Linked DNA regions of Ovis aries. The protein of the gene in region 2 binds, or shares a complex with, the protein of the main gene of each other region. Links are inferred from orthologs where the notes say so. Each region holds a gene or a part of one and is shown on either strand. Other genes may lie near its edges.

Evidence for each region.
Region 1: the proteins of GTF2E2 (region 2) and GTF2E1 are in contact, whole or in part, in a crystal structure (PDB 5GPY), measured with the Homo sapiens proteins. The link is inferred for Ovis aries from reciprocal best matches to the Homo sapiens genes GTF2E2 and GTF2E1. Residues at the interface, in NP_002086.1 of Homo sapiens: Asp159, Gln160, Arg161, Gly162, Leu163, Gly164, Gly165, Leu167, Leu190, Val192, Asn193, Arg194, Pro195, Ile200, Phe202, Cys208, Gln209, Phe210, Ser211, Val212, Asp213, Glu215, Phe216, Gln217, Leu219, Trp220, Arg221, Val223, Thr224, Val225; in NP_005504.2 of Homo sapiens: Arg16, Lys19, Tyr20, Val21, Arg23, Gly24, Phe25, Tyr26, Ile28, Glu29, Leu32, Arg39, Leu51, Leu52, Lys53, Phe54, Asp55, Gln58, Gly68, Asp69, Lys70, Phe71, Lys73, Thr98, Asn101, Val102, Val103, Lys104, Tyr105, Lys106.

The regions. Positions count from the first base shown.
Region 1 is NC_056054.1:186,276,918-186,282,377, reverse strand, and holds the start of GTF2E1 (general transcription factor IIE subunit 1), read right to left. Parts: upstream 3,745-5,460; 5' UTR 3,513-3,744; coding exon of another isoform or gene 3,499-3,512; 5' UTR 3,320-3,498; coding exon of another isoform or gene 3,294-3,319; 5' UTR 2,972-3,293; coding exon 2,925-2,971; exon of another isoform or gene 732-2,924; coding exon of another isoform or gene 694-731; intron 1-693. Other genes in the region: RABL3 (rab-like protein 3), read left to right, coding at 3,960-4,005.
Region 2 is NC_056079.1:25,926,186-25,931,545, forward strand, and holds the start of GTF2E2 (transcription initiation factor IIE subunit beta), read right to left. Parts: upstream 3,257-5,360; 5' UTR 3,026-3,256; intron 1-3,025. UniProt on the Homo sapiens protein: Recruits TFIIH to the initiation complex and stimulates the RNA polymerase II C-terminal domain kinase and DNA-dependent ATPase activities of TFIIH. Both TFIIH and TFIIE are required for promoter clearance by RNA polymerase.

The sequences.
Region 1 (5,460 bases), on a different chromosome or scaffold from region 2:
ACAACTTCAAGGCACACTTTACTCCCTGAGAAATAAGGATAATATCAACTGCCTCAATGAGGTTGTGGTGAATTAATGAGAATGTAATGTGCTTAGAGTGAAAAAAGTGAAGTCACTCAGTCGTGTCCGACTCTTTGCAACCCCATGGACTGTAGCCTACCACGCTCCTCCGTCCATGGGATTTTCCAGGCAAGATTACTGGAGTGGGTTGCCATTTCCTTCTCCAGCGGATCTTCCCGACCCAGGGATCAAACCTGGGTCTCCCGCATTGTAGGCAGATGCTTTACCATCTGAGCCACCAGGAAAGTCCAACGTGCTTAGAAAGCACTTGTTAACAAAGTGCTTGAATATCAATTTAATGTGTCCCTACACTACAAGAAAATTTCTAACAGACATCCTATTGAACTGTTTCAACAGGGAATCATACTGTTATTAATACTAGTTTCTCCTGACCCTTTTATTTAAAATCAGTAGTTATTAACCTTATTAGATTTAATACCTTTTTATAAGAAATATATTTATATCCACAGTACTATAAAGGTATTTCTAAATAGCCAATAACATACACATACAGGGGAAGGGATATAATACCTGACCTGTAATAAAGGAAAAATAAAAGGGAATAGTTATAATATTTATTTTGGATTATAAATACTCAGGCATGAATAAATATAAGAGATAACAAAGTAGCACCTAGATTCAAACTTGTGGTCCTTGAGGCTTTCTGTCATTCCAAGGCTTAAGGAGACCAAGCAAGTGTCTGGGCCCACACCAAAGCAGTATCATAATATACTAAGAGACGTATTTTGTTCTCCTTTCCAATTTGGTCTATATGTTGTACTTGAACCTACTTTTGGGGGTTATGTTTTACATGCTCAACAACTGGCAGAACATAGTATGTGGTTTCAGAAACAGACCAAAGGATCTCAGACAAATATGAAGATAACCTATTTTTCTAGTATTATTTCCTACTATTGTATTCCCCTCCCTGACCTTCTACCCCATATACTCCATTTCCAGGCCAACAACGCTCAACCCTGGCTGTAAAGCCAAATCACCCAGGGAGCATTTAAAAATATCCACTCTGGACCCATTCCCAGAGATTGTTTTAGCTGGTCTGGGAGGGCCAGATTAAGCATCATACTGATTTTTTTTAAAGCTCCTTAGGTGACAAATATACAGAATAAGTCCGTGACTACTGCCACCAACAAACTGGGTACCTGGCTACTACACACCGCCACTAAAGCACATCGCACATAGGAAGAACCCTGTACTACTTATCATTCAGTCTGTTACTTTTGCCTGAAACATCACAGGGTGCACTAAAGATTTGAAAAAGGGAGTGACATGAGGACTCCAATAGATTTAGGCTTTGAATCCCAGTTCCACCATTTCTTAGCCTATGACCCTGGAAAATTCTCAGCCTCCATTTCATCAGATTAACAGTGCCTTCCTCATAGCATTGATGTGTGAGATTAAATGAGACAATTCATATGGAAGTACTGATATTAAAAGCTATAGTCATCAGACTTATACTACAGAAGAGAAGAAATTACCAGAGGACAGGATGAATGAAACTTATTAGAGAAACAAAATCAAAAGGCCCCAATAATATATTCCAATAATATACTGGAAATCGAGTATTTTTAAAATTTTTAATAGCTATTTGGGGTTTTCCCCCCAGTTTTTTAATAGCGATAAAATATACATAACAAAAGTTACCAGTTAAGCATTTTTAAGTAATAGTTCAGTAATGTTAAATACATTCTTGATGTTATCCACCTATCATCACCAACCACTTCCAAACTCTTTTCATCCTGTAAAACTGAAACATTATACCTATTAAACAATAAAATACAGCTATTCATTTTAAGCCACTGTAACTGGAAGAAAAAAGTACTACTATGAGAAGTACATTACCACCTGAAGAGAAACAGATTTGGAAGAAATGAAGCAATCAGTGTTAGCTGCTTGTCTTTGAGGAAATACCACAGGATATTACTGTGAAGATACCCAGGAGGTAACTGGACAAATGAAACTGGAGCTCAGCAAAGAATCACCTTGTTCAAAATCTCTACATTCTAAAATCCTCCTTCCTGACCATGTGTTCTCCCCTAACTGCCTCTGCTCCTGCTAAGTCGCCTCTACTCACCTAATTATACTGAATCTCCTCAATCTCTGGATATCATAATACTGAGGTCAGAGGTCTCAAACTGGCAACATCTACCACATCACTTGATTCAAAGAACGTTTTGAAAATTTTCTGAATTACTGGTCAACAATTAAAAATCATGAGATTTCAATTTTCAGAGTCTTGAAAATTGGAAACATCTGAGGGGGAAAATGTGACCATGTTCCCACATAGAAACAAAGAGCAGTTGACACTTCTAAACAGGGAAGGAGTTGGATTGGCCTCTGTTGACTTCTGAGTGTGTGACCTCTGGGGACCAGCCCATGCTTCTCTTTTTTTAGCCTCAGAGTTCATCAGTTACCTCTCAGCCTCACCTATGACCCTACCCAGCCCAGAGCCCCAAAGGTAAGTTGGTTCTGTTTTTGAACCATATGTATTACAATCATACAAACACTGGGCACAGAGGTGGAGAAACAAAGATGAAATGAATGCACTCTTCGCACTTGGTCTATCCTCCTCAGTCTCATTTCCAGGCATTCTCCAATTCCACCAGCCATACACGCGTTCCCCACGTCCAGGCCTTTGCACATGCTGTTCTCTATGCCCCCACAGCTAAGCCCAAAGTCCCTTCTCCTAACAATCCTTCACATGTTGAATGACATTTCCTCAGAGACACCGTCTCAGGTTCCCCTTAGTAGATTAAATGAGCCCCCTTTCCCAAGTTCCCACAGTTCTCTCCCCTCATTTTTTTACAGTGAACAGAATATAGTGAACATACTTTCTCCATATCTACCTCGGAGACCAGGGGCTTGATCTTGTCCACCACTGACTTTCCAGCATGTGCCACAGCTGGTCAAGTGCCCCACAAAACTTTCAATAGGTCGGCTAAGCACCTGTTCTTCAAATATGCCTACCCAGCTTCCCCTCAATTCACTTCCTTTACTGCGGCTTCCAGAGTAGAAAAAGACAGGGTATTGGAAATCCTCTTCTTAAACTTCAAATGGTTTTAAACAGGAGGCGACAGCATCAAATTCGTGTTTTTAAGGGCTTATGCTGACTGCAGCGTGTAAAAGAAAAAATGGAAGGAGTGGATGTAGGGAGTCCTGTCAGATTATTTCAGTTTACTTCTATTCCAGTTCCAGAAAAACTTGGATTTACACACCCAACTGGCTTTCTCGGTTGCCACATTTCACGGTACTCTCCATGCCTTCGTACATAAAGTGGCACAATACCGCGAAACCTCCGGATCAGTTGGCCTCCACGCGCCAGGTAACGTTCTCCTCCTCCCACTGTGACACCCCGACACCCTAAATTCCCTAGGACTCTATCAGCTGAGGACACACTCGGCGCAGTCAAGCCCGTCCTACCCGAGGTCGCACATGGGCCGCTCCGCGGTCACTGGTTCTTTGGAAGACCAAGAAGAGAATCGAATCAAGAGAGTAGCTAAGGGGGAGGAGGATAGCCAAGAAAGGAGCGAAAAAGAGAAGGCACCCTAAGAGGCGGCGCCTGGCCAGGAAACCGAGAAACAGGGAACAAGGTTTACCAAAGCGAATCCTCGAACACTCCCACTACAGCTTCCCTCAGCGCCTCAACTACCGGCTTATCCGAGCCACGCCACTTGTGCGTCAAAGAAAACGCTTTATTCCTGCGACCAGCTTTAGAAACCACCCGCTACTTTCAACTAGGAGGGCCAATCGGCACAGTGAGGCCTTCAATCAAGAGTCACGCTCCTATTGGCCAATAACATTGAAGGCACTGCCTTTCAAACCCAGCTCTGATTGGCCTATAATCCTGGAGTAGGCGTTAACCTCAGGAAGGCGATGACAAGATGGCGTCCCTGGATCGAGTGAAGGTACTGGTTTTGGGAGACTCAGGTGAGCGTCTTAACACAACCCTGGGGCTCCCGACACTTTTGAGTTATCCGAAAATCCTCCCCTTTCACTCTCCCTCCATCCAGCCACCGACTAACTGATTTCGGCTCGTGGCTGAATTCCTTCTTAAGTCTTAAAGACTACACTTCCCAGAGGACTTTGCTCAATTTAACGGAGCGGCAGCGTCGTCCGGGTGGGGGCCGCGGACCCGGGGCCTTTTCTCTGCTTTCGCAGGTTTCTACGTCGGTTTCCAGGGCAAGATGCGCAGATACTGAGTGTTGAATTGAGCGCCGGGCTGAGACAAGCGCAGATGCCTTTGGGAGATTTTAGTTAAGGAAATCAAACATGCATTAGGAAGAATGACACTGTCCCAAGTATTATTGACACTGTTCCAAACTTTGCAGGTATTAACTCATTTAATCCCGAGATCAGTCCTATTATACCATTTTACAAATGATAAAAGCGAGGTGGAGAGATGTATGATTTATGGTTTTTACTTTGTAAATGACAGAACTGGTTTGAGCTGCAAGTCCACGTATCTAAAACACCAACCCATACTATTTCATAGAATAACAGGTGGTAGTCTTGTTTTACTTTCAGCTGCACTTCTCTTTTTTTCGTTCTCTTTAATCTTAACTGAAAACCTATTATGTGCTAGTTCTAGTTCAGTCGCTCAGTCGTGTCCGACTCCTTGCGACCCCATGAATCGCAGCACGCCAGGCCTCCTGTCCATCACCAACTCTCGGAGTTCACTCAAACTCATGTCCATCGAGTCGGTGATGCCATCCAGTCATCTCATCCTCTGCCGTCCCCTTTTCCTCTTGCCCCCAATCCCTCCCAGCATCAGAGTCTTTTCCAACGAGTCAACTCTTCGCATGAGGTGGCCAAAGTACTGGAGTTTCAGCTTTAGCATCATTCCTTCCAAAGAACACCCAGTACTGATCTTTAGAATGGACTGGTTGGATCTAGGCTGTAAGAAATAGAAAATTTAAGATAGAGGCCATATTGTGAAGCAGCTAGAACAATGCTGAGCCCAGCTTAATCCTAGTGTTAAAATTCTTACCTTGGACACTTGAGAACTGGAATTGAAGTCTGTGTTTCTCTCTCCCCTTCACTATCTTTCTGTTTCTCCTAGCCTCCATTCCTAATATTCGTAAAAACTTGGAATAGATGACAACCTTGCTTTTCAGGAGGTGGTGGAGGTGGTGGTGGTGTTGTAGTCGATAAGTCGTGTCCGACCCTTACTACCCCGGTGGACTGTATGTGGCCCACCAGGCTTCTCTGTCCGTGGGATTTCCCAGGCAAACATACTGGAATGGTTTGCCATTCCCTACCCCAGGGGATCTTCCCGACCCAGGGATCAAACCCGCATCTCTTGCATCTCCTGCATTGCAGACAGATTCTTTACCTCTGAGCCACCAGGGCAGCCTGGTGCATATCATAGATGTACTTTTCTAA
Region 2 (5,360 bases):
GAAGTGAGAAATGAAGAAACAAGAGGAAACAATCAAAGGAGACTAAATAATAGTAATGCAGTCATTAAGCATAATCAAGGACCTTTAGTTCCTTCCCAATGACTACAGATAATATTCTGAGCCATATCCTGTGAGCTTGTCTTAAAGATACTGAAACCCCAGGTGGGAGAAGTTACTACATGATGACCAGATTGTACCCACAACAGAAGCTGCCACAATTCTGAGAACTGGCCTCAGAGAAATCTGAACAAATGGACCCTGGAACTGAAGATTAACTGTACCTAAAGCAGCCAAGGTGATGCTGGTCAGACCACTGATGACCAAAGTGAAGATAAGTGTCAGAGCTGACTGTGCTGTTTCTGCAACAGCCCCCTTCTTCTATCTATAAAAGCTCTCGCCCCACCACCAATGGCGGGGGAGAGGGAGGCAGGGAGGGGCGGCACAGTGAATCGGCCTTTGGACAGACATATGCCCTCTCCCAGCCTGCTTTATTTCAAATAAGCAAACTTTCCTTTCCACCAACCTGGCCTGCTTACTAGCTTTTGAGCGACAAGTAGCCAGACCCCACACACCCTTCTGTGAGAGAAGAGAGACTCTCAGACTTTGGAAGCTTTCCGGCATGGGATAGCTCAATAAGTATTTTGTAAATGACTAACAAACAGAAGAACATCTTTAAATTGCCCTAGCCTCTCTGTTAATAAGTTTTACAAGCCTTTATTAAATGTCTTCTGTTTGCGGGGCACTGTACCGCACTGCAGCCTTTGGAAAGTTTTGGAAGATAAATCCTTGCCTGCATGTAAGCAGCTTACATTTGAGAATGTGAAAGCACTCAACAACTTGCTTAAAAAGCAATGAATAAATAAAACGTGACTTAGCACGCTAAAAGTTAAAAATGTAAGCACTGAATATCACTCAGTCATGAAAAAGAATGAAATAGTCTATATGCACAATATGGATGGACCTAGAGATTATCACACTAAGTCTGAAAGAGACAAATAGCATATGATTTCATTACTTGTGGAATCTAAAACATGACATAAAGGAACACATCTACAAAACAAAAACAGACTCACAATTGTAGAGAACAAGCTTGTGGTTGTCAAGCAAGATGGGGAGGAGAGAAGAGAAGGGTTGGGAGCTTGGGATTAGCCAATGCAAACTATTATACAGAATGGATAAACAGGTCCTACTGTACAATACAGGGAACTATGTCCAATATCCTGTGATAAACCATAATGGAAAAGAATATGACAAAGAGTATATGTTTAACTAAGCCACTCTGCTATACAGCAGAAATTAGAAACACTGTAAATTAACTATACTTCAATAAAATTTTATAAAAGCACTGATAAGAAATAAACTTGTCAAACTTTAGTTCAGGAAAGAAGAATCACTGACCCTGGACCTCGAATCTAAGACCTCCCTAAATTCTGACCCCTAACAGTAATATGACCTAGGGAATCCACTAGACTTCTCTAAATCCAATTTCATCATAAGTAAAATGAGGATACTACCAATGCTGTCTACATCTAGCCCAACTGTAAGAATAAAATGAGAACATGTTTGTGAAAGTGATTTTTTAAGTAGTAAAGCTAGACCAACGTGTTATTTCAGAACTATTATTTGGATCTGAAAAGAAATAACCCAGTGTTATACTCAGGTGAGGAAGGCAGAAGACAGTCTTGGGGGAGGGAAAGTGTATTAGAACAAGAAAGGAGAATTCCCCAATGATGTGGTGGGGGAAGGGGGGGGGAACAAGCCTAAAACAACAAACATCTGCTGATTTCACTTTGTAAAGACAGATTATTAACCCAGGCTTTTATAATCACGATTTTAACATAGATAAAATCTATGTTGTTTATTATGTAATTTATTATTAACATAATAAAAGCCTTACAAAGACCTGGATGTTAACAGCATTTGATCCTCACAACTCTATGAGGTATCAGGTATGTATCCTATCACACAGAGTTAAGATCACACAGCTGAAAGTACACAGCCTGGACGCCAGGAGATTGATTCCTAAACCAGGTGCTCCTTATTCCAGACCTAAAACTGGTAAAAGCCTCCAAAACAAAAGCGACCTGCGTGGTATGGGTGAAGTTCAATGGTCCCTAGAACAGAAGGTTTAATGTCTTTCACCATCACATGCTCTAACTTTTCCACCTTTTTCTCATGAGACTACTCCGCATCTGTAGAGTTTCATATGTCCTGTGTAGTAAACAGGACACATCAACTTCCCCGTTTTACATTAAAACACACATCACTGCCACAACTCAGTGAGTTCACGTGTTCCCTCACTGAGAAGCCAAAAGTTCAGTGAAAATCTTTTAACTGCAAAGCCCACATTCCTCCCATATTATCATTTGACTTTATCATTTATCCAGTTTATCATTTGATTTCTTTCAACCTTTCAACTCTTTCTCTCTTGCTTCATTTGCCTGCCTGAGCCTCGCAGGGGCCAATAGTGCTTTGAATAGCCGGCAAGCTGAGAATAAGAGACTGCTTAACCCTGAAAAGACAGCAATGTAGAAGTGGAAGTGAAAAAAGTACCGCAGCGACTTGTTTTGGAAAATGTCTTTAGACTCTGCAGAAAACTATTATAACTCAAGGTTAGGAATCATTCCAAACTAGGTTTCCAAGAGGAAGCTGGAAAAAAAAAAAAAAATCCGTGAAGGAGCGCCTAAATCACAGCCTTTACTTGGCTGGGCGCCGCGGTTCCTCAAACTCCACACACCTGGTCCGTGCGGCTACAGCTAATGTAAGTTTGGGGGCTCAGGAAAGGCACGACCAGCGCTCCAATTCGAATTTCCCCTCTTTCCAACCCAAAACTTTGCTCACTGAACCTCCGGCCTCAGAAACAATGCTCCCGAGAGGCTGTAACCGGGTTAAGCGTTTCGGGCAGGGAACCGCAGCCCCAGCTTCCCGCGGGATGGGAGGCCGCGTGCCCCCGGGAATGGGAGGAGGCCCCGAAGAACAACAGGCTGGGGCTCCGCGCCCCAAACCCGGCGTCCGCAGCTCCTACCTGAGCCAGGAGGGCCGCCCCACGCGCCCCGCCGCCGCCTCCCAGAGCCTCCGCCTGGACCAGCCGCCCACGCCCGCGTGGCTGCCGCTTCGGGCTCGTTGTCAGCGCCTCCGCCGCCCGGCACGCATGCCCAGCGCTGCCCCGCCAGCTCGGGGGTCTTCGCACTGGCGGCTGCTGCTGAAGCGGCGGCTGAGGCGGCGACTCTTCCCCCGGCTCCGCCCGCCACTTCCTGATCGGGTGGCCGGGAGCTCAGTCCCGGTAGGCACCGCGGCGCCTCGGCCGCCAAGAACGCGCATGCGTCATCCCGTGCTCCGCCCAGGTATCGCGGGAGGGAAATCTACCAACTTGGGCGTCCCGATCTCCATGACAACGGAAGGACGATTGGGGGCGGGACGTAATTAGGAGTTGAGTCAGTTCAGTTCAGTCCCTCAGCCGTATCCGACTCTGCGCGACCCCATGGACTGCAGCACGCCAGGCCTCCCTGTCCATCACCAACTCCTGGAGTTGAGTAGCCGCAGCTAAAATGGTGCGACTTTAAATGCTATTCACCATCACCTAAAATTCGGAGAACATTGTTCCAGCTCTCTCCCTACACAACTGAAACAGGAGACGCAGTGAAACTAAATAAATGACTGGCTCGAGACAGCACCGCCAGCAATGGCAAATTCTGAAGCAAAGTCCGGTTTCTGAACTCCGAACCCCCATCCCTGTAAACTCTCTTAGAAAAGGATTTGGGATTCAGCAGCAGCGTAAAGGGGTAAAAATAAAAATAAAGCGGCGAAAAAGACAACTGCCCTTGTCCACAGCCTGCAATGTATTGGACCATGCCAAATTGTGGCGCTGGCCTTGCCTCACTCCTGCAGCCTGAAGCGACCGCATGGCCAGTGCTCTACTATTTTATTGCTGTCCTTTACTTAATGCTGGTTACTCAAGTTACTTGTGTTTTGGTTTTCACATCTGGGAAATGGGAATAATAATTGAACTACCACAATGGGTTACTTTCATTGGATTGTTGTGAAGACTGAATGAGATAATACATAAAATTTTTAATCAAAACTTGGGAATAAAGCCAAAAGATGGTTGTGTGGGTATTTTTTTACGTTTTTATTTTATTTATTTTGGCTATGCTGAGGCCTAATTGTGACAGGCAGGCTCCTGCTCTAGTTGTGGTGCAAGGGGTTAGTTGCCCAGCAGCCTGTGGGATCTTAGTTCCCCTACCAGGGATGGAACCCACGGCCCCCTCATTGGAAGGCAACCAGGGAAGTCCCTGTATGGCTTTTTAAAATTGATTTCATTCTATAGGATTTTGTAATAAACACACTTGATATTCATTTGACACCCTCGGGAAACATAACTTCATTTGGATAACAATTTATTGGGACTCAAAGGTTTTATAACCCAGGAAAAATTGATAAGGTGTAATGAGGAGGAGCAGTCATACACTGAAAAAAAAATTCCAAACCTTAAAATTACGTTGTCTGAGAAACATAAGCCAGTTTTGTATAAATTTATTTTTATTTCATCCCTTCCCCAGTGATTATGTAAGTACCAATTTACCAGTAAGTCTCAATTTACTCATGGAATCGATTCTACCATTCTGCTAGCTTCCTTCTTAATGAATGAGAGAATTCCTATAAATGAACAGTGGCTAGACCATATATGCTGATAAAACTCTGGCCCACTTGAGAAACCAAGCCACAACCTCTGCAGCAATCAGCTCAGAATGGTCAAGATTTACTCAAAGGCTGCCAACTTCCCTGTTTCAGACCTCCTTCCTCCAAGTTCCCCTTCCAGCGCATACTAGAAGCGCTCCCCCCGCCGCTTTTTTTCCCCTCTATAAAGCTTCCCTGCTCCACGATTGCCTTTGAATCTCTGCTAAATGCAAGAGATGGTGGCTGACTCTCTTGCTTAACATTGTAGCAAGGGATGTGATCTCTCTTCTCATTTGAGTGGTCTTCGTTTTTTGCTAGGGTTTAATAAAACTTGGCATCACCGACTCGATGGACATGAGTTTGAGTGAACTCCGGGAGTTGGTGATGGACATGGAGGCCTGGCGAGCTACAATTCATGGGGTCGCAAAGAGTCACACACGACTGAGCGACTGAACCGAACTGAATAAAACTTGGATACATACATGCTCCTTACTAATCACTTGAGACAGGATTTTAACAATTAGAGAATCATGCTTTGACAGAACTAGATTTACCAGATGGACAGCATGCAAGGAAGTCAGAAGATAAACTAAGGTACTAAGGTACATTAAAATTCTGAAGAGTTTGAGCAAATGCCAATTCAAATTAGCCCCAAACCAAAAATGATTAACATTCCACTCCAC